7 linked regions of the Rattus norvegicus genome follow. The protein of the gene in region 1 interacts with the protein of each later gene in a pairwise test. Links are inferred from orthologs where the notes say so. Each region holds a gene or a part of one and is shown in the gene's direction. Other genes may lie near its edges.

The links.
Region 2: the proteins of Airim (region 1) and Vps52 interact in binary tests that used the Homo sapiens proteins (3 or more experiments, as listed by UniProt). The two-hybrid records come from large-scale screens. The link is inferred for Rattus norvegicus from reciprocal best matches to the Homo sapiens genes AIRIM and VPS52.
Region 3: the proteins of Airim (region 1) and Stx11 interact in binary tests that used the Homo sapiens proteins (3 or more experiments, as listed by UniProt). The two-hybrid records come from large-scale screens. The link is inferred for Rattus norvegicus from reciprocal best matches to the Homo sapiens genes AIRIM and STX11.
Region 4: the proteins of Airim (region 1) and Rint1 interact in binary tests that used the Homo sapiens proteins (3 or more experiments, as listed by UniProt). The two-hybrid records come from large-scale screens. The link is inferred for Rattus norvegicus from reciprocal best matches to the Homo sapiens genes AIRIM and RINT1.
Region 5: the proteins of Airim (region 1) and Ppp1r12c interact in binary tests that used the Homo sapiens proteins (3 or more experiments, as listed by UniProt). The two-hybrid records come from large-scale screens. The link is inferred for Rattus norvegicus from reciprocal best matches to the Homo sapiens genes AIRIM and PPP1R12C.
Region 6: the proteins of Airim (region 1) and Rel interact in binary tests that used the Homo sapiens proteins (3 or more experiments, as listed by UniProt). The two-hybrid records come from large-scale screens. The link is inferred for Rattus norvegicus from reciprocal best matches to the Homo sapiens genes AIRIM and REL.
Region 7: the proteins of Airim (region 1) and Meox2 interact in binary tests that used the Homo sapiens proteins (3 or more experiments, as listed by UniProt). The two-hybrid records come from large-scale screens. The link is inferred for Rattus norvegicus from reciprocal best matches to the Homo sapiens genes AIRIM and MEOX2.

What each region holds. Positions count from the first base shown.
Region 1 is NC_086023.1:142,482,169-142,486,304, forward strand, and holds the start of Airim (ribosome biogenesis protein C1orf109 homolog), read left to right. Parts: upstream 1-1,218; 5' UTR 1,219-1,564; exon of another isoform or gene 1,565-1,650; intron 1,651-2,786; 5' UTR 2,787-2,789; coding exon 2,790-3,064; intron 3,065-4,136. Other genes in the region: Cdca8 (borealin), read right to left, coding at 576-704, 810-903. UniProt on the Homo sapiens protein: Part of the 55LCC heterohexameric ATPase complex which is chromatin-associated and promotes replisome proteostasis to maintain replication fork progression and genome stability.
Region 2 is NC_086038.1:4,926,924-4,930,605, reverse strand, and holds part of Vps52 (vacuolar protein sorting-associated protein 52 homolog), read left to right. Parts: intron 1-53; coding exon 54-204; intron 205-479; exon of another isoform or gene 480-576; intron 577-808; coding exon 809-909; intron 910-1,005; coding exon 1,006-1,138; intron 1,139-1,231; coding exon 1,232-1,289; intron 1,290-1,840; coding exon 1,841-1,974; intron 1,975-2,417; coding exon of another isoform or gene 2,418-2,459; coding exon 2,460-2,615; intron 2,616-2,722; coding exon of another isoform or gene 2,723-2,773; coding exon 2,774-2,892; exon of another isoform or gene 2,893-2,926; intron 2,927-3,197; exon of another isoform or gene 3,198-3,204; coding exon 3,205-3,328; intron 3,329-3,490; coding exon 3,491-3,586; intron 3,587-3,682. UniProt on the Homo sapiens protein: Acts as a component of the GARP complex that is involved in retrograde transport from early and late endosomes to the trans-Golgi network (TGN).
Region 3 is NC_086019.1:9,137,303-9,141,500, reverse strand, and holds the start of Stx11 (syntaxin-11), read left to right. Parts: upstream 1-1,281; 5' UTR 1,282-1,350; exon of another isoform or gene 1,351-1,473; intron 1,474-4,198. UniProt on the Homo sapiens protein: SNARE that acts to regulate protein transport between late endosomes and the trans-Golgi network.
Region 4 is NC_086022.1:12,245,218-12,249,484, reverse strand, and holds the start of Rint1 (RAD50-interacting protein 1), read left to right. Parts: upstream 1-1,367; 5' UTR 1,368-1,489; coding exon 1,490-1,531; intron 1,532-1,934; coding exon 1,935-1,980; intron 1,981-4,267. UniProt on the Homo sapiens protein: Involved in regulation of membrane traffic between the Golgi and the endoplasmic reticulum (ER); the function is proposed to depend on its association in the NRZ complex which is believed to play a role in SNARE assembly at the ER.
Region 5 is NC_086019.1:78,365,848-78,369,529, forward strand, and holds part of Ppp1r12c (protein phosphatase 1 regulatory subunit 12C), read left to right. Parts: intron 1-1,045; coding exon 1,046-1,176; intron 1,177-1,256; coding exon 1,257-1,375; intron 1,376-3,682. UniProt on the Homo sapiens protein: Regulates myosin phosphatase activity.
Region 6 is NC_086032.1:101,911,868-101,915,549, reverse strand, and holds part of Rel (proto-oncogene c-Rel), read left to right. Parts: intron 1-887; coding exon 888-1,030; intron 1,031-3,682. UniProt on the Homo sapiens protein: Proto-oncogene that may play a role in differentiation and lymphopoiesis.
Region 7 is NC_086024.1:59,582,480-59,586,876, forward strand, and holds the start of Meox2 (homeobox protein MOX-2), read left to right. Parts: upstream 1-1,545; 5' UTR 1,546-1,737; coding exon 1,738-2,251; intron 2,252-4,397. UniProt on the Homo sapiens protein: Mesodermal transcription factor that plays a key role in somitogenesis and somitogenesis and limb muscle differentiation. Required during limb development for normal appendicular muscle formation and for the normal regulation of myogenic genes.

The sequences.
Region 1 (4,136 bases):
GGAGAAAACATGATGTATCCTGGTCTTGCATTTCTCTCCCTCCTCTGTAAATCGGCAGGAAAACTTTTATAGTCCTACCAAGTGCCTGCATCCTTGCCTAGGCTAGCTTAGGCTAGGTCAGGTCAGTGTGGAACGGCCTTCCCCAACCTCTGAAAGCCTTCAAGAATCAGAAGCTCACTTTGTACTATGGATTTGATCTTTTCTCTCTTCCTCTTCCTCCTCCTCCTCCTCCTTCTCCTCCTCCTCCTCCCTCCCTCCCTCCCTCTCCCTCCCTCCCTCTTCCTTCAGCCCCCCCCTCCCCCCCCCTCATCTATCTCTGGTATATACCTTCTAAAGCTCTCCTCCCACTGAGCAGTGAAAGTGTGAAGCACTATCCTAATAACACTCATCTGAAGGGTAATTCATGCCCGCTTCTTTCCAATGGGTCTATCACTTTTTTTTTTATAAGTTATGACAGATGGCAATTTCCCACCGGTGGCTATTTAAGACCTTATTAAGACATCTGAATGAGTCCCTATAGAAAGTTTTCAAGATAAGCACTAATCGGCCACGGGGGAAACGCTAGCAGCTCTTACCAAAGTAGTCAAGCCACTTCATGACTTGCAGCGCCTTGGGGAGCCGAAGGACCTCGATGTTGTAGAGATTTTCCACCTCCTTGAGGAGGGTCTGCCTGTCGGACTCAATTTGCTTGGTTCGAACTTGCACTGCAAAGAGGTGAAAGCCGATGGATCCCGCGTCAGGTGTGCGAAGCCGTCGCACCCGCGCCCCAACCCACCCAAAACTCACGATCACGCGAATCCACCCCTTACCCTCGCGGTCGAAGTCCTTTAGGAAGGAGGCGAGCTTCCGGCTCCGCAGTGTGTTGGTCCTGGTCCCGCGGCTGCTGCGTTTCTTAGGAGCCATGACACCAGGGTGCGTCCAGCGAGGGGCCGAGCTGCCGGGTTAGCGAATGAGACCGGGAAAGAGGGCGTGAGTGGTCGGGGAGCAGCGGAAGTTCAGTCGTTGGAGTCTAGGTATCCTGAACTCTGCGGAAACAAACCTGGGGGTCCCAAAACAGACTCAGGAAACCTTACAGCTCCAGCTGAGGGACGGGTTGATCTTCCACTAACCGCCACCCAATTCAAACTCAACGGGCACAGCCTAGCCAATAGCAAATCGTCGTCTTAGGACGGTTCTCACAAAGTCCAATCACAACAAAGCTTCTTCTCCCTCCGTCAGCCAATCCTTATGGAGAACTACAATGCCCAGAAGTCATTGAGGCATACGCCATCTTTTCGCGACTCCAGAGTCGTGCTAACTAGAACTGGAGTGGTGAGTTCGGTCTTGTGAATGAGCAGACAGTGCCAAGCCCCGTGTAGTTTTTGATGTACTCAGTGTTGACAACCCAGGATTTACGTTTTCCTGTTGATTTAGGAACAGGGCTGGAAATCTTAAAGAGAGGAGACAAGACTCCAGAAGCACTGGTCCGGGGATAGACAGACCCCAGGGCTTCGCAATCTAAAGTAGATTGCACTGTCGTTTAGAAACCCCTTCGGAAGACCTGCAGTCCTTCTGCAGAGAACTGGTAAGAGGACCGCCGCAATCTTTATTCTTGAGTGTCAGCGGTGACAAGACAGAGGAGCACAGCTTCACTCTGCCTACTTCAGCAAGGTGAGGAGTTCCCCTAACCTTTTAGGGACTTCAGCTCAGTTGATGGCTCTGAGGCTGGAAAGAACTCAGCACTAGCCAGTCTATGAAGCAGAGTTACATGCACACATTTGATACGGGGGCTCACCATTTAACTCAGGCTAGCCTGGCAGTCTCTGTGTAGACTAAGTTAGCCTCGAACTTACAGAGATCTGCCTGTTTCAGTCTTCCATGTGCTAGGATTAAAGGTACATTCGTCAACTCCCAGCCTAAAGCTTTTAATACAGGCTTAAGCACAGGGATTAAGAGAGAAGCACTTAGGCATAAAATAGAATACACTTGAAGGCTGCTCAAACAATCTCAGAAAGTTAGACATAGTCATGTGGGTCTGGTCTTCTCCAGGGAGATCAACAGTTGACACCATCCCCCGCCCCCCAGTTTCTTGAGACAGGGTTTCTCTGTAGCCCTGGCCATCCTGGGACTGTAGACCAGGCTTGCTTCAAACCCAGAGATCACCTGGCTTTGCCTCCAGAGTGCTGGGATTAAAGTCATATTACATTAGCCGTGTATACTTATTTTGGTAGCTTTCAGGTTACATCTCAAAAGGGTTTCTAAAGAACCCTTGTTATTCTCTTCAAACAAAAAGTTGTTTGAGAAGAGAAGTAAGTGAGAGGGCTTCCAATATTCTCTGATGGTATTACAATCCAATAAAGTGAAATCAGGAGCTCCTATGGTTGTAAATGGAGCAGTGTGTGACCTTTCTCTGTAAATTGGATTTCTGGTGAGATTTCTAGAACATGGAAGGAAGGAAGGCCTTAAGCAGTTGGTTGTAAATGGAGTAGTGTGTGACCTTTCTCTGTAAATGGGATTTCTGGTGAGATTTCTAGAACATGGAAGGAAGGAAGGCCTTAAGCAGTTGGTAAGTATGCTGCTGAAATTCTTACTTCATTGTTGGTCGAAAGTGTCAACCTGCTTCCAGGACGAAGAGTTCTTTTCTGTGTCACCTAGAGTCTCCCTACCTTTCAATATTGCCTTGGGACTATTTGAAAACCAAATCTGGTCTTCTCATGAGGTCAAAAATGACTCACCCTTGATGTAGGCTCTCCCTTTTTGGTACCCTGACTCTCTTTTGTTTTGTTTTGTTTTGTTTTTCTACCCAGAAGATGGCTCATGACCAGCCGCTGCTGGTTGTGCAGGAGGCCCTGAAGAAGTGCTTCCCCGTGGTGGAGGAACAGCAGGACCTGTGGCAGAGCACTCTGCAGGACTGCTTGCCCCTCCTCTCCTCTCTCAGCAATCTGGCTGAGCAGCTGCAAGCTGCACAAAGTCTGCGGTTTGAGGATGTGCTAGCCCTTCGTCCCTTTCCAGACCTGCAGGAGCGATTGAGGCGCAAGCAACTAGAGGCTGGTGACATTGTCCTGGACAAGCTAACTGAGAGGCTGTAAGATGCTCTGTGTCCCCCTTTGTTGATGGACAGATCTTAAGGCTGTAGGGCATCTCAGCCTCAGTCATGGTGGGCCTACAAAAGTTGACAGAAGCAAGTCAGGAGTAATCATGCAGGGGGCTAAGATTGAATGTCTGTAAGTTCGAGGCCAGCCTGGAGTAGGTTGTTTTAAAAAAACCCAAACCAGGCCAAGTGTTTAATCTCAGTACTAAGGAGGCAGAGGCAGGCAGATCTCTGAGTTCAAGGCCAGCCTGGTCTACGTAGAGAGTTCCAAGACAATCAAGGCTACACTGACAGACCCAGTCTCAAAATAAAATAAGTAAGTAAACAAACAAATAAAAATAACCCCAAACCAATTACATAACTGAAGAAATGACAAAAGCAGAAAAGAAGAGGAGAGGAAGAAGAGTCTTCCTTGGTATTCTGTAGAGTCAGTGAGAGCCAGGATTAAAGACTGTATGTACAGGACCTTGTACACCCCTGGCTTAACCCTGCTTATGCATTTGGAAGCAAGAAGACAGAAAATAAACTGATTGTCCTGATCACAGAGCCAGTGAGAATTAGAGCCGGGATTCTGAAGTGTGCCTGCCACTTAAGCTGGGCTCCTCACCACCACCTCCTTCTACACACAAGTGGATACATGTGTAACCAGTCCACAAAACAGTAACAACTCAGGCGTTACTGATACTCTGTTTTCTGTTTGTTAAGTCACAGTGTATAAGCAGGACTTACAGACTTGCTGGTTTTGGGTTGTTTCCTGTTTTTACACTGTAAGACACAGCCGGATCTTTAGAGCTAGAGTTCTGGGCTGGGAGATTCCTTGTCCATTGGGAAGTTGCAGTCTTTGTTTTAGTGATGAGTCCCTTTGCGTCAGCATTAGAATGATATGTAGGCACTGCTAAAGGCACCTTATATACACCATCATATTTCTCTCTCTGGTGACAGTGAATTGACTGATTCACTGTGTGTTCGCTGCTCTTGGAAGACACAGTGAGCAATGGAGCTTTATGCACAGGGGAAATAACTCATTTCCTTAAGCAGGCTGTGCACGCTGAGCCCACATTGCCAT
Region 2 (3,682 bases), on another chromosome or scaffold:
GGGAGCTGTTGAGTCCTTCCATCTAACCACTCCCATCCTCCCTTGCTCCCCAGAGCAATTCTCGAAGCTCCAGTGACAGAGCCCAGGTTCCTGGAGCAGCTCCAGGAGCTGGACGCCAAGGCGGCTGCGGTCAGAGAGCAGGAGGCGAGAGGCACGGCCGCCTGTGCAGACGTCAGAGGCGTGCTCGACCGGCTCCGGGTCAAGGTGGGGAGCGGCTGCTTACAGTCAGCTTCCCAAGAGCTCCACATTGCTTCCCGCTATGTAGTGTCAGTGTCAGTCCTCCCCTGAAAATCAAAGGAGGCTTGCAGTGTGGCTCCATTGGTAAAGCACACAACCCTAGGTTCCATCCCCAGTGCCTCCTGCGTTGGCAGGATGGCACGAGTCTGTCGTCCTAGCACTCAGGAGGTGAAGAAGAAACGGAGTCTGGGGCCAGGCCCCAGATACATGAGTGAGACGCCATCTCAGAACAAGCAGTGCTTGCACTGGCAGTGCGGGTACTAAAATTAGAACAACACAGAGAAGATTAGCATGGCCCCTGTGGGATAACATGAAATTTATAAAGCCTTCCATATTTAAACAAAACAAAAAGCCCTGAAAAAATAAGGCCAGCATGGCGATGCACTCACCCCCAGCATTCAGGAGGCAGAGGCAGGCAGACCTCTGTGAGTCCCCGGCCAGCAAGGGCTGCTCAGAGAGACCCTGTTTCCATAACCAGAGCACTAATGAAGTATTCTTCCCTTACCTTTATTTTCTCCTGTGTCCCCTCTCTCACTTCCCACCTCACGGCCTGTCTGTACCCCACATCCAGGCGGTGACAAAGATCCGTGAGTTCATTCTCCAGAAGATTTACTCGTTCCGAAAGCCGATGACCAACTATCAGATCCCCCAGACGGCCCTGCTGAAGTACAGGTGGCCCCCCCGGGATGGGCACAGGGTGACCATGAGCGAGCCTCTCAGCCTCCAGCGTGGGCATCCAGGGTGTCTGACTCACCCCGGTCCTTCCAGGTTTTTCTATCAGTTTCTGCTGGGCAACGAGCGTGCTACAGCCAAGGAGGTCAGGGATGAGTACGTAGAGACGCTGAGCAAGATCTACCTGTCATACTACCGCTCGTACGTGGGGCGGCTCATGAAAGTGCAGGTGGGCCAGGCCAGAGACGGGGGGAGGGGGGAGGCTGGGGGGGCTGGGGGGGATGTGGAGAGTGATGGCTCAGCTCTCTGTTGTTTTCTCTAGTACGAGGAAGTTGCTGAGAAAGACGATCTAATGGGTGTAGAAGACACAGCAAAGAAAGATATCCTTTAGAGGGGAGCCTCACACCGGGCTCACGGCGGGGACGTCCAGCTCCAGCATGCAGAGCTATCTTCTTTTCCTTCCTTCCATTTCTTTTTCTTTTTCTTTTTCTTTCTTTCTTTTTTTTTTTTTTTTTATAAGTACACTGTAGCTGTCTTCAGACGCACCAGAAGAGGGCATTGGATCCCATTACAGATGGTTGTGAGCCACCATGTGGTTGCTGGGAATTGAACTCAGGACCTCTGGAAGAGCAGTCAGTGCTCTTAACAGTCCAGGGCTGTGTTTTTTTTACCTGTTCTGTGTTCACACCTTTGAGGATGTGAAAGCCAGAGCTTCCTCTCTAAGAAGCACATGCCATTCTGACAGTTTTTCACATTTATTTCAGAGGGTTTGGGAAGCCTCGACAGCCATTATCAGTGTCAGGAGAAGCAAGGCTCTGGTTCTGGAAAAGGCCTTCCAGGCCTTATTTAGCTTCTTGGGATCCTCAGGCCTTGGCTTGTTGGGCCTAGTGCTGTCCATCTCGTTTTTTTCCCTGACGCGGATGTGGCTCACGATTCTTCTCGAAGCCGTCCCTGCGAAGCAGGAACACCATCTTTACCCTGGGCACCCGTGGTGCTGTCATCTCACCGGCCGAGCTCGAGGCCCCCATCCTGGTGCCCCATACTGCCCAGCGTGGAGAGCAGAGGGTATGGCGAGGCGATCCCTACATGGCCTGGGATCAGTTCCCTACCTACGTGTTAGTTTGGGGGTCCCTGACCCGCTGTGATGCGGGAGGGTTAGGAGCCATGGAGAGCCTTGCAGAGGGAGACTGGCTGTGGGTGTGACTGTTAGGGGGCAACAGTTGCAGTGGGTGTAGGGGCAGCAGCAGCCCCTGGGGAGGGCTTTTCTTGTGACCTGTGTCCCCTCTTCAGTGCCTGTATGGGGTGCTCCTCCCTGCCTGGAAGTTGGGTATGTGGTCTTGTGAGCTCGCATTCCTAAGCTGTGCTGAGTCTCCATACCCACGGGGTCGGTGTGAGACCCATCCATGTGTCTCTCTGACCTGTAGTATCCGTTTGAAGCCCGTCCGTGTGTCTCTCTGTCTCGGTAGTATCCATTTGAAGCCCGTCCATGTGTGTCTCTGTCTTGGTAGTACCCGTTTGAAGCCCATCCGTGTGTCTCTCTGTCTCGGTAGTACCCGTTTGAAGCACTCTTCCGCAGCCAGCACTATGCCCTCCTTGACAATTCTTGCCGTGAATATCTCTTCATCTGTGAATTTTTCGTCGTCTCTGGCCCGGCTGCCCATGACCTGTTCCACGCCGTCATGGGCCGCACGCTGTCCATGACGCTGGTGAGCTTCTGACTTCTGTGCCTTTGCCCTCTGTCCTCAGAGCTCAGCAGCAGCCAGTGGGGTCACAAGTGCCTTGTCCCCAAAGAATTGTACGTGTTTGCCTACAGCCACTCGAACAACAGCTAACGTTCAGTTGTCTGCCTGTTGCTGTGCCACAGAAACACCTGGAGTCCTACCTGGCCGACTGCTACGACGCCATTGCTGTTTTTCTCTGTATCCACATCGTTCTCCGGTTCCGCAACATAGCAGCAAAGAGGGACGTCCCTGCCCTGGACAGGTCACTGAGCTCCCGTCCTTGGTGCATGGAGGCGGTCAGCTTTTTTTTTTTTTTTTGGTTCTTTTTTTCGGAGCTGGGGACCGAACCCAGGGCCTTGTGCTTCCTAGGCAAGCGCTCTACCACTGAGCTAAATCCCCAACCCCAGCGGTCAGCTTTTTATCTAACACAACTCCACCCTGACTCTTCCTCACCCTTATTCCCTCCCATCCGTGTGTCCCAGGGGCAGCATTGGTGTCGGGCACACCCACTCGCTCACCCATGGGCAGCCAGCACCCCTAGCCAGCTGACCTTTGACTCTGATTAAGCCTGCAGATACTGGGAGCAGGTGCTGGCCCTGCTGTGGCCTCGATTTGAGCTCATCCTGGAGATGAATGTGCAGAGCGTCCGCAGCACTGACCCCCAGCGCCTCGGGGGGCTGGACACCCGGCCCCACTATGTAAGGGCAGGCGAGGGAACGAGGGGCGGGCAGTCATACTAACTGGTAGGCTGGGTCAGCTTGGGCAGACAACTCCTGTCCTGACTGGGGCAGGAGCTGCAGAGGCAGCTGGGGTTATATGTGACAGGCAGGCAGGTGTGAGCCTCCCTTTCTTGCTCCGAGATCACACGCCGCTACGCCGAGTTCTCCTCCGCGCTTGTCAGCATCAACCAGACCATCCCCAATGAGCGCACGCTGCAGCTGCTGGGACAGCTACAGGTGGGACAGCTGCAGATGGGACAGCTGGAGGTGGGGACAGCTGCAGATGGGACAGTTGCAGGTGGGGACAGTTGCAGGTGGGGACAGTTGCAGGTG
Region 3 (4,198 bases), on another chromosome or scaffold:
CAGAGGTTAGGAGAGGCACCATGTTGGTGCTGTGAATCGCACTCAGGTCCTCCGCAAGAACATCAAGTTCTGAGCCGTCTCCCACCGATTTGTTTTTGTTTAATTCCGAAACCCACCTCCCAGCCTTCTCAGCATCTTCCGTGGCCGGTTAAGATTCTTTTCTCGTAGGATCTTTCAACAGCTGTGAGTAGGATTGGTCAGGCATTTTCGTGGGGTGGGGGTGGGAGTGGGGGTGTGCAAGTGGATTTGTGGTTGTTGAACCAGGGGCAAGCTCCGCTCACTGTCACAACATCATTTATCTGTGTGGTAAAAACTACTTTCCTCCTCCTTTCTGTACAGCCCTATGTAGAGGAGCAGGCTCTCTATATTGAGTGCAGAGAGACAAGTTTCTTTTCCAAGAAAGTGGGTTTCTGCTTCGGTTGCTTGAAGTTGCTCTGCTCCGGAGACTTGTGGACCTATTTCATCGGCCATCTGTTCACGTTAGATGAATAACTTTGTGTTACCATCCAGTGCCACCTCGTTCCTCAAATTCTTCCGGCTTTAGGCACCCGGAGCTCTTTGGGTGACTTCCTAGCATCAATGCACACATCATTTTTCTGTTTTAGATGGTTAGCCTTCGCCGTGTTTGTCCAGAGGCTTCCCATCCGCTCACCCGAAAGCCCCTTTTCTCTTTCCGAGTCTCTAGTAGGGTGTCAGGCTACGAGGACGAGGTCGTGGCAGTACCCGTGGATGCCCCACTGACAGCAGGCGGGAAGGGACTAGTGGAAGGCGGGGCTCAGTGTCTTCAAGATCCACAACCTCCGGTTCAACCATCGCGCGGGTCTCTGCAGGCGCAGCCACACCCACGCTCAGAAACGGTTTCTAGCGTCCTAGCCTCGGAAATGCTCTGGACTGCAAATGTCATTCATGCCGAGGGGTTTTCCCTTGGAAAGTCCGACGAATCCCGCTCCGCCCATCTCTCCATCCCAGAGCACCGAAGAAGACAGAGGAAGTTTCCCGGGTGGTCCACACGGTCGCCCGCAGCATCTCGGGGCGCACAGCAGTGGAGGGAGGCTCGTGTCTAGGTTCTCAGCCACCCGCACCGTGGCGACTCTCGTCCGTGAGGACGAGAAACTGCGCGCCCAGCCCAGGGCGTCCCCGGGGCGGGGCCTGGTCCCCCAGCTGTGCAGGCTCAGCGCGGTGGGGGCGGAGCCAGCAGCGCCAGATGCGGCCGGGGTGGCGCAGAGCTCGGACCCGGCTGAGAAGCGCAGCCCTGGCCATCAAGAAGCAGAAGAGGCAGAGCCTCCGGGACGCGAGCATTGCGTGTCCTCCCGGCGTCCGGACGCTGGATCAGCGCCCCGCCGGATCACGGTTCGTTTCGTCACGGGAGTGTGCTTTGGTTCTCAAACTCTTTGGGCATCGGGGACCCGGGTGCGGGGCTGGCTGGAGTGGCGGACCTCACTGGCCCAGGGCAGGGATGCTGCCCAGCAGCAGGTGGGTTTGGGGTGTGGTTCCCTCTGCGCCTCTAGGTACCTTCAGGACGCGGCTTTGGGTTTCACTCCTAGAGCCAAAAGCTTTTTAAGTCTTTGAGAATCTAAGGCTTTATCAGAAGTGCTTCAGAAATGACTGGTGTAGTCAGTTTTATTGTTTTATTGAATGGAGGTGCTTCTTTTCCGTTTGGTTGCCACTTTCTCAAGCACATCAGAATGGGCACTTCTCCACTTGAACTTGACAGTATGACTCAGGAGCCAGGAAATATGGGAACATTGATAAGGCGTTGAAACAGCCCGCACAGAAGATTTGGGGGAGTTTGTTTTAGGGGGGAGCGATCTGGTGGCTTTGCTTAAAGAACCACACTACGGAATTCTTTTGGCTTCTTTGGCCGAGACCAGCTGAGACCTGCGTTTTACTTCCTGTGGCTCTCTCACACTTAGTAGAGCATTTCTCAGCAGAGGGAGGAGCTGTTGTTTCTACACGGGTATCCACAAATGAGTCAGAAGGCGACTATAATTGCAAGGCTTTGTTAATACGCTTTTGAAAAGCGAGGTTGGATCCCTGTACTTAGAATAAGAACGGAGATGAGTCTGGTGCTGTCAAACTGGGGCAGGCGGCCTAGGAAGTAGCTATTCAAGTTTTCAGTTTCCTAGAGCGTCTGATGGGACAACATGCCAGCTAGGGTCACTAGGCCGATCTGAGATAACCCTTAAAATCATGTGCTTTCCCACAGAAGCTGAAGAGAAAATTAATTCCATTATCCAATAACCATTTGTTTTCACTGGTTGGTAGAAACTGGGCATTTAGTGGAGTGATTGTAAGTTACTCCGAAATTTAAAATATTTCAGAAAGTTTATTTTTTTTACCAAGTTAGTACTTTAAAAAATATAGAGAGAAGCTTTTGAAGAAAGTAGATGGTTGCTAGAGCCAGACATTAATATGCTCTTAGAAACAGACTTCCCTATCTAGAAGCTAAGCAGAGGCAAGAATAACTGTGTATCTTGGCTGAGCTGAGGTCAGCCCTAGACAGCAGTTACAAGGTTCTGGTCTGTTCTTTTCCTCAAGTTCCATGTGTACAATCCCAGGCACAGTGCTATCCTGACAGCCAGAGCCACAGCTGAGCTGATTTTCCTGGAAATCCAACATTGTGAGATGGGTGCTATTGTGTTTTATAAAAAAGAAAAAGAAGTCAGGGATATGTTTAGTAGAGGTGTGGGGGAAGGGGGTGCCTCTGTGGGTCCATGCTGAGGCATCCCTTTCCCCTGAGGGACCATCCATACATGGTATAGTATAAGAGTATAGAATAGAGTTTATTTAGGGCATGGGGAGGGGAGTGGACGGGGTAGAAGAAACAGAGAAAGGAGAGAGAGAGAGAGAGAGACAGAGACAGAGACAGAGACAGAGACAGAGACAGAGACAGAGAGACAGAGAGAAACAGAGACAGAGAGAGACACAGAGAGAGACAGAGACAGAGACAGAGAGAGAGGAAGGAGGAGGAGGAGGAAGAGAAGGAGGAAGAATAGAGAGTAGAGGCAGGCTTTGATCAGGTATAGAGGCGGGTAGAGGAGAATGGGGAGAAAAGGGACAAAGAGCAAAAGAGTGAGGAGGGGGCAAGCAGCCCCTTTTATACTGAGTCAGGTATATTTGGCTGTTGCCAGGTAACTGTGGGGCAGAGCCTAGAAGAAATGCCAGCAGGTGCTGTGAGAAATTTACACCCAAAGGAGGCGCCCCAGTGTGGAGGATCAGAATATCCTGGATCACTCTTGGGACAGCAAAGGAAAGTCTGGGTTCCCATCATCTGCTTGTCTTGGTTGGCAGCCAGGTTTTCACTCAATACATACATGATTTGAAAAGCATATTTGTATGTGCATATGTGTATGATTTAAAGAACATACTAGTGAGGCGTGGCGTTTAAAGTGTTTGAATTAACCGTGTTTTGTATTGCTCGGTAGCTGTGTGAAAGCAAACCCAGTCTGTTATCATCCCTGGGCACTTATGGGCACTTTCCTGTGTCTTTTAAACAACAGGGAGTGACTTACGAGCCATTGGTGGCTTTCTGCTCATCGGTTGTTCCTTATCTGAGGACTGGCTTCACTTCCTTGATTTTTATTACCCGAGCTCTGAAACGTGAAATAGAAAGTTCCAGCAATAATAGTATGCATCTATTTATTTTACTTGAGACGTGGTCTCACCGCGTAGCCCTGGCTGACCTAGAATCCACAGCTATCTCTCTGCCCGCTTCTGCCTCCTGAGAACTCGTATTAAAGGTGTGTGCCACCACACTTGGCAGTGAGATGATGCTCTGAGAGAGGGAATACATCCACACCAAATTAATTAGAACCATATCGTTGTAATTGCTCCACTATTAATTCTTGTTCATCTCTTACTGTGCATAATTTATGAATTTAAACTTTATCTTAAATACGCATGCACGGAGAACAGCAGAAATAGGTGTCAGGCGTTCACCACAGTCTCTTGGCTCAGATCCCTGAGGGTTAATTTCCCAGTCCTCTGAGGTGGCCAACTAGTAAAAGGCTCCATTACCACATCTTTCACCTCTGTCTCATCGCTCCCTCCGCAGCCTCAGAGCCACATCTTCTAGAGGAAAGAAAAAAGATGAAGTGTTATTCAGTATGGCGTTCCTGGGCTTGGGTACCCATCTGACTCGTGGTTAGTGGAAAGAAAGCATTTATTAAACAGTGAGCCTAACTGTAGATGAGGGTTG
Region 4 (4,267 bases), on another chromosome or scaffold:
TCTGGAAGAGCTGCTAGCATTCTTAACTGCTGGAGCCATCTCTCTAGACTCTATTAATTGATTGATTGATTGATTGATTGATCGATCGATACAGAGTTTCACCGTATAGCTCTATCTGTCCTTCAGCTCACTCTGTAGATCAGGCTGGCTTTGAACCCATAAAGATTAACCTGCCTCTGCCTCCTGAGTTCTGGAACAAAAGGTGTGACCACTATTCCTGGTTCCTAATTTTTATTTTCATTTTATGTGTATGGCTGTTATGTTTGCGTGTATGCCTGCACCTCAGTGAGGTTTTTTCTCAGCGAGTATTTTCTATTTCCTCTAAAGGCTTTCTGTTTCTTTGTTTGTTTGTCTCCGTTTAGTCCCATTTGTTTTGGTCTCAAAGGCATTTTCCAGGGTTTGCCTGTCAAATTTCAGTGTTCTCTACCTATCTCTTGCTTCTAAGTAACTCTAGTTCCTCCTCCCTGGAAAACAGTAGAGGTTTGGGGGGCTCAGCTAGGCAAACTGGATGCCAGTTTTTGAGTGCCCTGCCTGATTCCTAGAATGTTTCAACCCTCCAAGCCTCCTACAAACAGAACTGGACCTTCCCGTTAAAAAATAAGATCATCTCTAAGCAACCTGACCAGCATTAAATAAAGATCTGGATACTGGCATTCACTGGCAAATTCCCAGTCATGCCAAACCTAGTAACTTACCCTGACACTTCTTGTCTGTATCCGCACTTTCTTTTTTATCGGGATTTGCCTAAGTATAAAACGTTCATTTATTTATAGAGCGATGGGGAGGCGTTTGGAGGTCAGAGGACAACCTGAAGGAATCGGTTCTCTCCTTCTACCACATGGGCCAGGTATGGAACCCAGGTGCCTTGGTGGCAAGTGCTTTTACACACTGAGCCATCTCGAGATGTTCTCTATGATGCTCTAGCTGATACTGAACCATCATAAGGAGGCCAAAGTATTTTCTCTCCCCTCTCCCCTCTCCCCTTTCTCCTTTCCTCTCTTCCCTCTTTTTTGAGAGACCTCGTTATCTGTGGTCAAGAGCGGCTTTGAACTCAGTGTGTAACTGGAGCTGACTTTGAACTCCTGATCCTCCTGCCTTCACCTCCCAAATTGTGGGATTACAACTGTGAGTCACTATGCCAGGGCCGAATTCTGTTTTTAATAACTCCGGAGAAGTGAAGGGAGCTCTGCCACAGAAGAGCATGCTAGCCAGCCCTCTCTGCCTGGGAAGCAGTAGGGTCGCTGGGTTTCCTGAGCGGCCGATCTGACAGCCAACCAGCAGGCGGCGCCACGGAACAGGACAGCGGCGCCACAGATACGCCTCTCTAGGCCAAGAGAACGGAACCAGAGAGTCGGCGATAGGAAGTCGAGGTGGCGCTCAACCCGGCGTCCCTGAAGGCTGGTCTGGTCGCCTAGTGTGTGTGTTCTCTAGCCGGACTCTGCAGGCCAGGCTGGCGGTGCATGGAATCCAGGACTCGAGCGGAGGCAGGATGCTTGCAGCTGGCGAGATCGGCGATGTGCCGGCAGCCCTGGTGAGGCGTCCCTGGTAACCCGGAGAAGGGACTCTGGTGACCCTGTGAGGTGGCACAGAACGCATCACCCCCCCCCCCCGGGACATTGTCCCCGCAGGGTAACTTGGAAGCGTGTGGCAGTGGTTCCCACGGTCCGAGGCAGTCAAGGGCGTCCCGGGGGAGGTAGTCACGGTGCAGTGTCCGATGTCCCAGAAGATGACAGTTTTGAGAGTTGGCGGGAAGGTGGACTCAGTGTCAGGGCAGGGTAATTTGGACCCTGGGGAGGTGGTTCAGACCTCTGGGGAGGTGGCAGTAGTGTCAGGCATGCCTCTGGGAGAGGTGCCTGGGACGTCTCCGCTTTGGAGCCCTGTATGAATTCCACTTACGTGAGTCTAACTTGTTTGCCACACCTGTTTCTCTGCAGTGCTGCCCCGAGAGCGGTGACGAAACGAAGAACACAGAGGAGAAAAGTAAGCAGGCTCCAAACCCTCAGTTCTTTTTGTCTAGTTGTCCTTCGAAGCTCGCTCTTTCAGAGTCTTTCAAAAAGAGGTTTCTTGGCCAGCTATCTTTTAAATGAAGTATCTTTTTCCTGTACGATCTTTAAACAGTAATAAATATTAGTTATCTTTGCATGTGGACTTTTATCTCTCTAAAAGAGCACTTTGACACTCTTACCTAGTGACTGGTTTGAGTTCACTGGGACCTGTCATTTTAATGAACCGCCAACTCGTTATCAGGTATTTGCTGGTCACTATTATGGGCTCCGGGGAGAGGTTTGATGATCGCTTACTTGCACTTTTGCCTTTGGTGAATATGCAGTTAAAATGTGCTGCAGGTAACACACAGCTTAGGTCCTGGGGCTTGGTCTGTGTAGGTGACAAGGAAAAGACCTGGTACCTACATTTCCTACCTAGGACAGGAAACTATGTCAGGCTGTGAGATATTTGTCATTTCACGTTGAAGAGATAAGAGTGGCAGGTTGTTAGGAATTCAGTACTCTGCAGGGGCTGGTTTTTTGTTTTTGTTTTGAAACAATGTTGAATGTAGCCCAGGTTTGCTCCAGGTTCCCTACATGACTAAGGATGACCTGGACTCCCAAGTCCACAGCCCTCTGTTTCACAGATGTTAACATGCCCAACCTTTTTAGAAGCTTTTGAAGGGTGCCCACATTTCCATGTGGCTCCTAGGAGGAAGGTTTGGCTTCTGATAAGCTCTCCCCAGCCCCTCGGAGCTTGAGAGATGGCTTGGTGCTTAAGAGTGCTTGCTGCTTTTACAGAGGGCCTGGGTTCGGTTCCCAGAGCCCACATGACAGCTCAATACTTTAGTTTCAGAGTTCTAAATGTCTGGTCCTGGCAAACCAGGCCTCTGGCTTACACATGGTACACATAAACTCATGGGAGCAAACTACATATGCACACAAATTAAATGAACAAACCCTTAAACAAATAAACCATAATTTAAAACCCCTTAGAGCTTGACATGGCCTGGGGAGTCACCGCCAGAGTTCTTGCCTCGCACTTTGGAAGCCCCAGGTTTGAATTGAGCCCTGCCACCACCACACAAACAATGAGACAGACAGACATGGACTTAGCAGTTAAGAGAATTTGAGGACCTGACTTTGATTCCCAACCCCTACAGTGTGGCTAACAGCTGCTTGGCACTAGCTCTAGGGATCCAGTGCCCTCTTCTGGCCTTTGTGTACACTGAAGAATGTGGTGCACAGACACACATGCAGACAAAACACACATACACATAACATTTCGAAAGTTTAATAAGTACCTGCCAGCCCATCCTTAAACCAAAAGTTAAAAACCAAGACAAAAAACCGAACAAGGAAACAAACCTTCTCTACCTTTGCCTACCCACATGCCTTGACTCTTCACATCAAACAATCTATCATTTTAGAATGTTAAGTGCAAACTACTTCATTAAGGACTTTGTCCTTGTCCACAGTGGCTCAGTTAATTGCTGTGTGCAATGGTGAACGCTCTTTATAAACAAATAAAACGGGAGAGACAAAAAAAATCTGCCAAGCCAGGTGTGGTGGCTCACGTCTGAAATCCCAGCCCTTTGGAGGCTGAGGCAGGAGGATTCCCATGATTTGGAGATCAGTTTAGGTCACAGAGTTAGACTGTATGTTTTTGGGTTTTAGCTCCTTATTTATTTTTTAGTTGCGTGCTGTATAGTTAAGGCTAAACTTGTCTTTTTAAAATTGAAATTATTTTCTTTAACAGGCAAATGGATAAGGAATTTTATTCAGCTATAAAGAGAAGTGGAATTGTGACATTTTCAGGAAAATAGATGGAAGCACAAATTATAATGTTGAAATAAGACAGACAGACAGATACTGCATGTTTTCCCTCATTGGTGGCATATATGGGTGTGTGTTGGTTACTGTTCTAGGGTTGTGAGGTGACACCATGCCCAAGGCAACTTAAAACAAAGCATTTAATTGGGGGCTTGCATATCAGAGGGTAAGTCCATGACTATCATGAAGGGAGCATGGACAAAGGCATGGTGTGGGACATCTGTTTCAGAGGTTTAATCCATGAGGGCAGGAAGCATGGTGGTGTGCAGCTAGACATGCTGCTAGAGAAGCAGCTGAGAGTTCTACATCTCTGAAATTGTTTTTAATGGTGTTTCGGTTACATATATGTCTGTGACAGTGTGCGGCCCTGGTGCCAGGGGAGGCCAGAGGAGGGCTTCGGCTTCAGCTTACGTGGAACTGGAATTACTGATGGTTCTAGGCCGCTGTGT
Region 5 (3,682 bases), on another chromosome or scaffold:
GTGCCCAGCCTCAGGCATCTTTCACATGGATGCCGGTGCCCGGCCAGGTCCTTGAAAGGGAAAGGCCCATCTGCCTCCTTGCCCCCCCTCCCATCACCATGACAACAGGGTGGAAATAAACTGAGCCCAGAGTGAAGCCCAGAGTTCATCCCGTTCCCAGGGCACGTGTGGCCCCCCTCTTGCAGCCTAAATTTCCATGACTTCATGCTCTTGGCCCTCGTAGCTTCCTTCTCTCTTTCTCCAGATGGTTGAACTTGAAGAAGGGGGTTAATTTTCATGAGGGCCCAGGAGTGGGGACCCTACCCCCTCCCTAGACTCAGTGGTTCCAGTGTCTAGCCAGTGTCATCAGGGATGGGGACCAGCTCTCTGGATATTGTGCTGGCTAGGGTGAGACTTTCCTCTCCCCAAGCTTTCAGTTCTAAGGGTGAGGAAGTGTGTGTGTGTGTGTGTGTGTGTGTGTGTGTGTGGCGGGAGGGGGGAGTAGTGTGGTGTGGGTTGTTTGGAAAAGATGTTCTGAGGGACCTGCGCACAGGAAAATTTGGGAAATATGCCCCTGGACCTCAGCTTTGTCTCTGGGAGGAGGTGCATGTGTGTCTTTTTGTGGTGATAATCTTTTTTTCCTGTGCTATGAATGGAACTCAGGGCTGGGTGATCATTCTTCCACTACCTGTGCTGGGTCGTGTCTGATCAAGGCGCCCTGTCTTTTGGGAGGCCATGTCTGGGCTCTGGGGCTCCTCCATCTCAGGAATATGTTCAGCAATAACATGCAGGGATGGCAGTCCTATTTTTCCAGGTCTACATTTTCATCCTGGCTTCTGGAGCCTCCTCTTGTCTCTATGAATTCTTCATGCTCAGGTGACCCAAACATGGAGTAACTAGGATATTTTAAGCTGCTGGTGGCTGGAGGACCCCTGGGACTTACATTGGAGCCATCTGCATTGCTTTCCACACTCCTCACTGGCCCTGGGTCCCTTTGTAGAAAAGTCTCCGTGTCGGGCCTCTGGCTGGGTGAGATGCGAGCTGATGGGCTTGTTCCCATCCTCAGGCCTGCATAGATGAGAACCTGGAAGTCGTTCGCTTCCTGGTGGAGCAGGGTGCTACTGTGAACCAGGCAGACAACGAGGGCTGGACGCCTCTGCATGTGGCTGCCTCCTGTGGGTACCTGGACATTGCTAGGTGAGGCAAGGGTTGAAGGGAAGGGCTTGGGCTAGGTGTTGGGTCCAGGCCTGGCAGCTCTGACCTTTCCTTTTCCCTAGGTACCTCCTGAGCCATGGGGCCAACATCGCTGCTGTCAACAGTGACGGGGACCTGCCTTTGGACCTGGCTGAGTCAGATGCCATGGAGGGACTGCTGAAAGCAGAGATCACTCGCCGAGGTGGGCCCATGGGATTAAGAGCTTTGGGATTTGGGAGTCTTGGCCCAAAGGTCCTGCCCATTTCCTTGGACTCCGGCTCTCTTTATGCCTCTATTTCTTCCCCAGTAAAATGGGGTTACCAAGGGTCTAGTGAGACACTACCAGACACAAAATAAGAGTACTGGCTGCTATGAATGTGTCTGTCATTTCAGCCCCAAAGAACTGAGAAATGGAGGTATGGTGAGCAAATGCTTGTCCAGGAGTAAGGAGCAAAATGGCTAGATCCTAGACTGGGACATATAGTGGATTCCCTCCTGACCTCCTAAGACCATTGTGTCCTGGTTTTTTTCAGTGGGAACTAGGAGCCCCTTGAATCTCCATGTCTGGCCCTATTCATTTTCCTGGATGAGGTGCTTGTGTTCTTGAGGCTTGAACTCCCGCTCTGCTGGCCTGAAAATCTAGTGCTCAGTGTCTAGGCCAGGTGTGGTGCTGTGTGCCTATAATCCCAGCTTTGGGTGACAGAGGCCGGAGGATCAGGAGTTCAAATTCATGCTCCCTATGTAGTAAGTTCAAAGCCAGCCTGGACTCCATGAGATTGTATCAGCATACAAACAAATCAGTATCCAGAGCCAGCTGGGTGGATCTTAGCTCCCTAATGCAGGGCCTGGAAGGAAAGGAATTGGGAAGCAGGCTAGTTTGGGAATGTTGTGAAGCTTAGCAGGCTCTCTAGGAACATAAGTCGCCAGTGTACCCTAGATTTCAGTTCCACACTGGGGAGTGTCCAGATAGGTAAGAGGGGAGAGAGGACAAATGGATCATGGGAGGATAGTCTTGGCTTCCCTGTTCTTGCATGTTACCACGCAAGGTGGAAAGACATGAGTTTAACATTTTGGCATATTGAATTTCAGGTGGCTGTGAGTCAATTGGGGATGCTTGGTAGCTAGTCAGCACCAAGAGATGGAGGTTAGATTTTAGAAGCCTCCCTGGGTTACAGTGGAGCAGCAGTAACAGTGGTTGAGTCAAGCTCCTCTTCCTTTTCCTGATTTTATTTTGGTAAAACTTCAAACACAGAAAAGTTTCCTCAATACTATGACTACTACCTTAGACCCTTTCCTGGGCTTAATCACAGAATTTGTTGAATTATGTGTTTGGGTCTTTTTTCTCTAAGTATGTCTGTTCCACATGCATGTCTGGTGCCCACCGAGACCATCAATCCTTTTGCAATTGTAGTTACAGATGGTTGTAAACCTCACTGGGTGCTGAGAATTGAACCTGGGTCTTCTGGAAGAGCATCCTGTGCTCTTAACCACTGATCTGTCTCTTTAGTCCTATTTATCTTTGAGACAGGGTCTTGCTATGTAGTCCTAGCTGGTCTGGTACTCAGTATTAGTTCGGACTGACCTTGAATTTGGAGCTTCCTGAGTACTTGCATTATACATGTGTGCCAGCACTCCAGCTGCTGTTTTAAAAGTCTTTTTATTATCATTAATGTGAAAGCTTATGCATTGTGAGGGGCAGAGGATAACTTATGGGAGTGGGCACCCTCTTCTTCCATGATGTGGGTCCTAGGGATGGAACTCAAGGTTGTCAGGCTTGGTGGCAATCACCTTTACCTGCTGAGCAAACTGGCCAGCCTGCCAGTGGTTTTACCACAAAGCAGCATTGAGGCTATAATCAACAAACCTAGCAGTTCACCCATTCAGAGTGCTTGGTTCGTGGTTGTGCTGTGGTCCACGGAGTTGTAGAGTCAATACCACATTCATTTCAAAGTATGGTTAAAGTTACCCTAAAAAAAAAAAAAAACCAAAAAACAAAAACAAAAAAAAAAACCCTGTAGTTTTTAGTCCCTTCCCCATCCCATCTCTAAGGCCTTCTGTCTTTAGGAATGCATCTGACATGGACATTTCACAGAGATGAAATAGCAGTCTAAACAGACATGCTTTACTGTTTTGTCCTGCTTTCCTTCCTTCCATACACATAGGCATCAATACCTTTCTTGTTTTTCCCTTTCCAGCCTCCCTTTCATTCCTCAGCTCTTTGAGACTATGTTGCTGATGTTGTAAACTCTGCCCAGATAATGGAGAGTCCCTCCTTCATCAGGTCCTGCTGCTCTACCCTCTCCAACAAAGAGGTGGGGGCAGCCTGGGGCCTTCACCCTCAGTGCCACAAGGTAGTTCATGCTGTGACCTGAGCTTCTCCCACTGAGAGGCTTTAGTGAAGGTGAGCCCATTGGTCTTGCCTTCCCCTGCTGGTGCTGATACATTTCTCAGATTCTGTTCTGCCAGGCTTGGTGGATGAATAGTGAGTTCAAGGTCTGTCTGAACTACA
Region 6 (3,682 bases), on another chromosome or scaffold:
TATGTGTGTACATATACATGTGTGTGCACACACACATATCATACAATTAAAACAAACTTTCTCTTCTTCCAAGTTTAGATAAATAGTGCTCAGCTTTCTTTCATTATAGATTGGCTTACATATCTGGAGTTTCATGTAAATGGGTGGTATAGTGTGTGCTTGTTTTCGATTAGCCTCTTTCACTCAACACACTCACGTTGATAGTTCTATTAATAGTGTTTTATCCTAAGTTGCATGTGTTCAGCATATGAATTACATTTGTTATGGAAAGCAAATGACTTTATTAACTCCACACTGTATGTTACATTCTGGAGGAGATTTAGATAGAACTAATTTGAAACTGTAGTTGAGCCCAAAGTCAGTGTACTGTTTTGGGATATTGCGTACAGATCCTTTGGTGTTCCAGACTTGCCCATACAAGGACATAATAAGTACATTTTAATTTTCAGGGAATGTCCTTTCACGCAGTGGTAGTGTAAAACAAAGCAGTTAGGTACATTTTACTTGGTTTTGGACTATAGTGTATCTCTGAATACTGTGTTCTTCGCCCTTCTTGGGAAATGTTGGGAGAGAAATCTTCTGATTGGCCTCAGGGGGCAGGTGACTCTAAAAGTTGTTACCTGAGAACTTCATGCACTTATTAGGTACAGACGTTAGGCAGCAGAGCACTAATCAGTTATGCGTCACTACTACGTAGAAACTCAGTCTGTACAAGAAAATGGTGTCTTCCTCATTTAACCTTTGATGATTACATTTTTTTAACCTTGTCATTTAATGTGGGGAAGGAAAAAGATCTTTCGGTGTCTGTTTTTTTTGAAAACCAAGCTGTTAAAGTCCATCGTATTACCATTCTAATCTCATCGCCCCGCTCTTTTTAATACTTTCAGGCGGATATAATCCCTACGTGGAAATCATTGAACAGCCAAGGCAGAGGGGCATGCGGTTTAGGTACAAGTGTGAAGGTCGCTCAGCCGGCAGCATCCCAGGGGAGCGCAGCACAGACAACAACCGGACTTACCCGTCTATCCAGGTAATGGGCCTTTCTTCAGGATCTCGCCTTTAGTGCTTCATTCTGTCTTATTGTCTTCTAGACAGGGTCTCTGTGTGGTCCTGGCTATCCTGGAACTCACTCCATACACCAGGCTGGCCAGAGATCTCCCTGCTTCTGCCTCCCTCCCAAGTACTGAGTTAAAGGTGTGCATTACCACCGCCTGGCTGAAGGCTCAGTCAGTCTCTTAACCGTCTTTCGCAAGCCCATGCTCTGGGCCCCCCCTTTTTTTTGTGCTTGTTCTTCATTAGCTAGATGTATAGGGATCTCTTAAAACTGTCGACTCTGTCCTGCTGTATAGTTCATGTATTAATGTAACCGCAGTGATTTGCAGGGCTTATCACACACTGACAGCTTAGGAGCCAATCCCTTCTGTTAACACAAAGCACTTGATGAGGAAAAGGCATTCTTTACGCATATTGGCGAGTGCAGTTAGTGTATATGTTAAAGGTAGATTTGGATCATCTTTTGATATTTTAATCATGCCTTTATAATGATCGCTGAAACTCTTGCGTTATTAGCATCGTCTAAAGTATCACTCTCTCTGCGTGTGTGTGAAGTGTGTGAGCGTATGCTCGTCTTGTGTGTGTGAATGTAGACACTTGGGTACCTCAGTGCCCCGTGGGAGTCAGGACAGTTGGGTGGGTTCTGTCTCATTCTTCTGTTTCCAGACAGTGCGTCTTTGCTGTTTTTCCACTTTAGACACCTGGTCCACCAGCTTCCAGGGTTCTTCTGTTTCTGATTCTCATCTCCTTAGAGGAGTGCTGCTGCTACAGGCTCGAACTGCTGGTCTCTCTCTTTCTTTGACAGACAGTGCTAGGGATTGAACCTAGAATCTTAGGAATGCCAAACAAGTGTTCTGCCGCTAAGATATATATCCCTAGCCTGCAAAAACAGTTTTTGGGTTGGAAATAAATTTAGCAAATGTACTATATTTATTAGGTATGTTTATATTTTATGTTTATACATCATATACACTTGCCTTTTCATTTTTATAATTTATTTATCCATGTTTAGTGTTTTGAAACAAAATTAGCCCCGATCTTGTAGTGACCTCGCCTCCTGCCTCTGCACCTTCATACTGGAATTGTAGACATGGGCAGTCATGCCTAGTTAGTTTTATCGTTTGAGTTCCAATTAAAAACCTGAATGATGAGTTGCAATGGTAGCACGTGACAAACATTTGGGAGGCAAAGCTAGGTAGGTATTGAGTTGAGAACTGCCTGGCTACATAAGAAACTCCAGGCCAGTCTAGACTATTCAAGCCAGACCTTATCACTGCAAACAAATGGAAACAAAGTTACTAGCACATCAGGGGCAGTGTCACCCACCAAAATCTCATCTACTTGGGAGGCCGTGGTGGGCAGATGGATAAAAGGAAGACACTGTCTCAGAATGGATTTTGAGATATGGTTCTTAATATTCCATCCATAGATCTGAAATCACTGTTTTGTGACTAGCTTATTATTTGCAGTTTAATTTTATTGAACCTAAGAAGAATTACAAAATTAAAAAATAAGTCAATTGCCAAGTTGTATATTGATTTCCAAATTTCTGTTTTTATATTTTAACTGATATATATATATATATATATATATATGCTTAAATTATATATGTTAACAGGATGCCATGTAATATATGATACACGTATGCATCATGTAATGCTTCAATCAGGTTAAACACACTTAGCTCCTCAAACGTTTATCATTCCTTGTGGAAACACTCAAACCCTCCTAGTTTTTTGAAATATACTCTGGTCCTATGGATGGTCAGTGCTCTTAGCTGCTGAGCTGTCACTCCAGACCCATAACCTCATGTTTCCAAATCACATTTTTTTGCAACAATATTGATTTGTATTATCTGAATTCTTTTTAGGTGTTCACATGAAAGATACAGTGAAAAGTTAATTTAGAGTTCTATTCTTCCAACCCTGTGAGTCATTTTTGGCTCCTCTTAAGAAATTTTCTGTTCCTAAATTAAAGCATTCCAGAGGAGAGAGTCTTTATCCTTACTCCCCTACTCCAGTGTATCCTGGTAGATCTGGACGTTAGTGCAGGCAGCGCACAGCACATCTGCTGCTGTCTGCAGCATACGACAGACACTGCAGCTCTGGAGACGGTTTTCAGACATGTTTTGAGAGGATGTTTCAGATACTTTGGGAAGGAGGTGCCTCAGAAAGGCAGGTCCAGGTCTTGCTCCGTTTGTGGTCTCACCCTCCACCAAGATCCCAGCTTTCCCCTCACCTATGGTGTGGGTATAGCCAGGGGTGAAATTCAAAACCTACTTCTGTTTTCACCTTCCTTTGCCACAGGATTTTCATGGGCAATGTGGTCTCAGAGAACGCTGGCTTTTTTTTTTTCTTTTGACACTTTTATTTCTCTCCTCCTCCTCCTTCTCCTCCTCCTCCTCTTCTTCCTCTTCCTCCTCTTCCTCCTCCTCCTCCTCTTCTTCTCCTTCTCTTCCTCCTCCTCCTCTTCTTCCTCTTCCTCCTCCTCTTCTTCTTCCTCTTCCTCCTCCTCTTCTTCTCCTTCTTCTTCTCCTTCTCCTTCTCTTCCTCCTCCTCCTCCTCCTCCTCTTCCTCCTCTTCCTCCTCCTCTTCCTCCTCTTCCTCCTCCTCCTCTTCTTCTTCCTCCT
Region 7 (4,397 bases), on another chromosome or scaffold:
AATACCTTTTCCTAATTTAAGCCAGATGTCTAGTTCAGGTTGCTGTACTCATTAATCCCATTAGCAATTTCAAAGACTTGACCATCATCTTCTGGTCACCCAGACAATAAACATATGGCAGTTAACCGTAGTGGCACGCCCAAGCCCTGAACACAGTAGGCTACTGCAGACATCCTCCTTGTAGACACTTCACAGACAGGACCCACTTTCCTGCAGCTCATTCTCCAAAGCTTGTTGTGGGTTAAAGAGAGGACCTCTAGTAGACTCTGTGGCAGGTCAAGCAAGCTAAAGGCTGTGTCAACCGCAACCCGGCTCTCACAAATTCACCAGTGGGCAAGTTTCGTAGTTCACTTCCAGGAGCCCAGGCTGTAAACCTGGGGGAAATGAACCATCATAGCAGGGTCGACTCTGAGGAAATGTTGAGTTTGCTATCTGCTTAAAACAGAGAGGTGGCAAGGAACGAACGGAATGTATGCAAAGAGGAGCACTGTAAGCTAAAAAAAGAAATTTCATTTCTCAACGGATGGGGGACGGGGTGGTGTGTGTGTGAATTGGCTCCTGTAGGGTTAGACTAGAAAGGGTGAAGCTGGGAGCAACTTATACTTGCTCAATTGATGTTTCTTAGGGTTGTTCCTGACCCAGAAAACTTTCCCAGTGAGCGAGTGTTGAGGAAATTGAACAAACTGGGTTGTTAAAGAGACATAGGGCTGGGAGGACACGGTCAGAAACAGAAGAAAGGGGGACACCACTTGGAGTGGCACATAAATATGTGCCACCAAGGCACCAGAACTTGCATCCATCTCTGCTTAAGGCACACCCCACTGGCTACCTCTCCATTCCGCACTCAGAGTAGCTCTGTGCTATCCTTGGTGCTCAGCCCTACAACCTCCTCTCTGGTGCGGGTTTTCTAACAATCTATCCTAAAACACCTAAAAGGGAAAAATATAATGTGCCCCTGAATGCGGGAAGTGCGAGTGGTCTTGGAGTTTGAAAAGCTAGACTGCTTCGCTCTTTTCCTTCTCTTGAACTCTAATAAGTTCTCTGTGATCTGAAAAGTCAGAGAGCGCCTGTAGGTGACTGCAACCCCCACCAAGGCTGGGAAATCTAGGTTCCAAGAACAGTGAGCGAGCACAGACACGGGGTGCTGGCTTAGCATAGTCGAGTGCTTCTGTGTCTGGCCACGGGAATCTATGGGATAGATCGCGGTGGTGTCCCTGAGCTACTGAGGCTCTGGGCGCTCCACTAACTGTTGTGGAAGCTCCCAGGACCCGACGGGCGTGGGGCAGCCGCTCCTGTCCTGCCAGCAATTGGGAACTGGAAATGAGAGAGTACGGTGGCGCTGACTGAGCGGGAGTTTTGGAGGGAGTTTGCATGTGGTCAGCGCTGGGCTCCTAAGCCAGCCCCCAGCTCACATTACACTCTATTTATAACCTCTCAGAGCCATTTCCCCCCCTGAAAGCAGTTCTCTGGGACCACCTTCTTTTGGCTTCCACCTCTCCCACACTTGACATCTGAGCAGCTGCAAGGGAAGCTCCTCCAGGTCCTAGTGTTTATACGTGCAGGAGACTGGCCGCTCGGCTCAGGACTGGGATTAGCGGGCTCTGCTCAAACCCGCGCGGCTTTTACATTAGGAGTGAGTGGGGGAGAGTCCTAGGATTTCTAGTGAAAAGTGACAGCGCTTGGTGGACTTTGGGACCTTCGTGAAGTCTTCTGCTTGGAAGCTGAGACTTGCATGCCATGGAACACCCCCTCTTTGGCTGCCTGCGCAGCCCCCACGCCACAGCGCAAGGCTTGCACCCCTTCTCGCAGTCTTCTCTGGCCCTCCATGGAAGATCTGACCACATGTCCTACCCCGAACTCTCCACATCTTCCTCGTCTTGCATAATCGCGGGATACCCCAATGAGGAGGGCATGTTTGCCAGCCAGCATCACAGGGGGCACCACCACCACCACCACCACCACCATCACCACCACCAGCAGCAGCAGCACCAGGCTCTGCAAAGCAACTGGCACCTCCCGCAGATGTCCTCCCCGCCAAGCGCGGCCCGGCACAGCCTTTGCCTGCAGCCTGATTCCGGAGGGCCCCCGGAGCTGGGGAGCAGCCCTCCGGTCCTGTGCTCCAACTCTTCTAGCCTGGGCTCCAGCACCCCGACCGGAGCCGCGTGCGCACCAGGGGATTATGGCCGTCAAGCGCTGTCACCCGCAGAAGTGGAGAAGAGAAGTGGCAGCAAAAGAAAAAGCGACAGTTCAGGTGAGTGTCGGCAAAACAATCCTGGGGAGAGTGCGCTCTGGGCTAGGAAGATGCAGGGGAGGTAGGGATGGTTCTTGTAGAAAGACAAACTAAGAAGCAGCTAGCGTTTCCTCTCTCTGGTGGCCGAATTCATCTATGCAGGGTCGGCCCTGTAATTCAGGAGCACGTGTTTCACTGAAGTTAATATATCTACATCCAGCCGTTCAAAGCCCCCCAAGATCGCAAATCAGTTTTCCAGAAGCGTTGAAGAAAGAGCAAGTGACACTATGCGAAATCGGTTAAGGAGCGTGGCGGTCCATCCACTGGTTGGGCGGGGTGTGCTCTTTGGGATGCTGCATCCTCTGGGCGTGCGTGCATGTCTCTGTGTGTGCGTGCATGCGGTTCTCTTTGACTTTTTCTTTCCAATTCCCAACTCTGAACAGCTAGACTTTTCCTATCATTAGCTTGGTTTCCACATTATTGCACAATATCTTGAACTTTAACTGGATTTGACAAAATACGCAAAAATAGAAAAGAAAAAAGAAAAAAAAAGAAAGAAAAAGAAACCCAAAACTTTTTATTTACATTTTATTTTCAGAGTTCCTTAAATAGCATTTACTTAAAATGATATTTAAAAAGCATTCTATTCATTTGGCGAAAAAGACATTATCCAGTAATCTAGAAGTGTTTAAGGAATACATCTGAAAATTGCGAATAAATAGATAAGGGCTTGACGAAAGGGTATTCTTATAGTGATTACACTCATGTGGTGCTAACATAGGATAAAACAAAACAAGCAAAAAAAAATCAATCAGCCAACTAAAGGAAACAAAACTTTTGAATTTCAAGAGTGGAAAATAAAAGCCTTCACCAATTGAGTACTGCTTGGAGGTGCAGCGAAGAGAGCTGACAGACAACAGCTCTGACAGCGCTGGAAGAAGATACAGAGAAAGTGTGGGTAACCTGAGCAGCCCAACAAAAGGGGAGCCTCCCAGAAGAATTCAGGGGCCTGAAAGTTCAATAGCCAGTACATCCCGGCAGCCCAGTAAAACTGAAAATTTCCAGGAAGCACAACAAAGCCCTTAACTATATTCCTCATTGTAAAGATGTTTACTTTCTTCCTTTCTTCTTTCCTTCCTACCTATCTTTCCTCTTTCCGTTTTCCCTTCTTTCTTTCTGTTCTTTCTTTCTTCCATTGAATCTTCCCTGTAGTTACAAGGCAACCTGGATACAGATTTTGGAAGACATCACTTAACTAGCACAGTGTTTGCATTTATTTAATTTTCTGTGTTAGCGACTTGAAAGTTAGAACATACAATTTGAGGCATTAGTTTGAAGAATTGAAAAAAAATCGCATTTGCAGTGTAGGACAGTAAGGGCTGTGTATTTTGTAAGGGGTTGAAAGATGATAGAAACTTTTCTTGACCCCAGTGTGGGCTGACTGCTTCCTTCCCAGCCGCGTTGAACCTGCGATTTTCTAGGTCCAGGGTGAACTTTTAATGCTCCATCATGATTAGTTATGTCTAAGAATGTTACCACACTGTCATTTTGTTTAGCGGTTATTGCTGAATGTGCGTGAAATCCTAAGACACTGAGAAGGTTCCTAAGAAGGCATTAGAATCCGCTGGGTTTCCTCAGATTGGGCTTCATGAGCACAAATGCTCCATTTGCTTCTGCAGGTTGGTAGTTACCTCAGGAAGGACCAGAAGCCCCATTCCCTGTTTTCTTTCTGCAAGGGGGAAACTGACCTACTTCTGAGCTGAACCAATGCCCTAAAGATTATTTGCGCACACGAAGGAATTTTTGTTCAGGCACAAGTTATTTTTGGGTGGGGAAACAGGGAAAGTGAGATGCCAAGCTCTTCCCAATTTGTTTTACTATTTAATATAACGGTCTTAATTCAACGTTATTTAATATAATGGTCTTAATACTGACTAGCAGTGGTTTTCATCACCTTTACCAGGGGCAAGTAAGCACACAGCAACGCCAAGCTTGTTTTAGCATGGTGAAACTCGTTTAAACACCAAAACAAGTAAAGAGAATAAACATTTGTGCCAACCACCCAGTGTATTAATACGTTACAAAGATGGGAAATATAATCAATAGGAAGGATAATGTCACTGGGGTTGACTGAGAATGAATGTTCCCATTGATAGACTACCGAAGT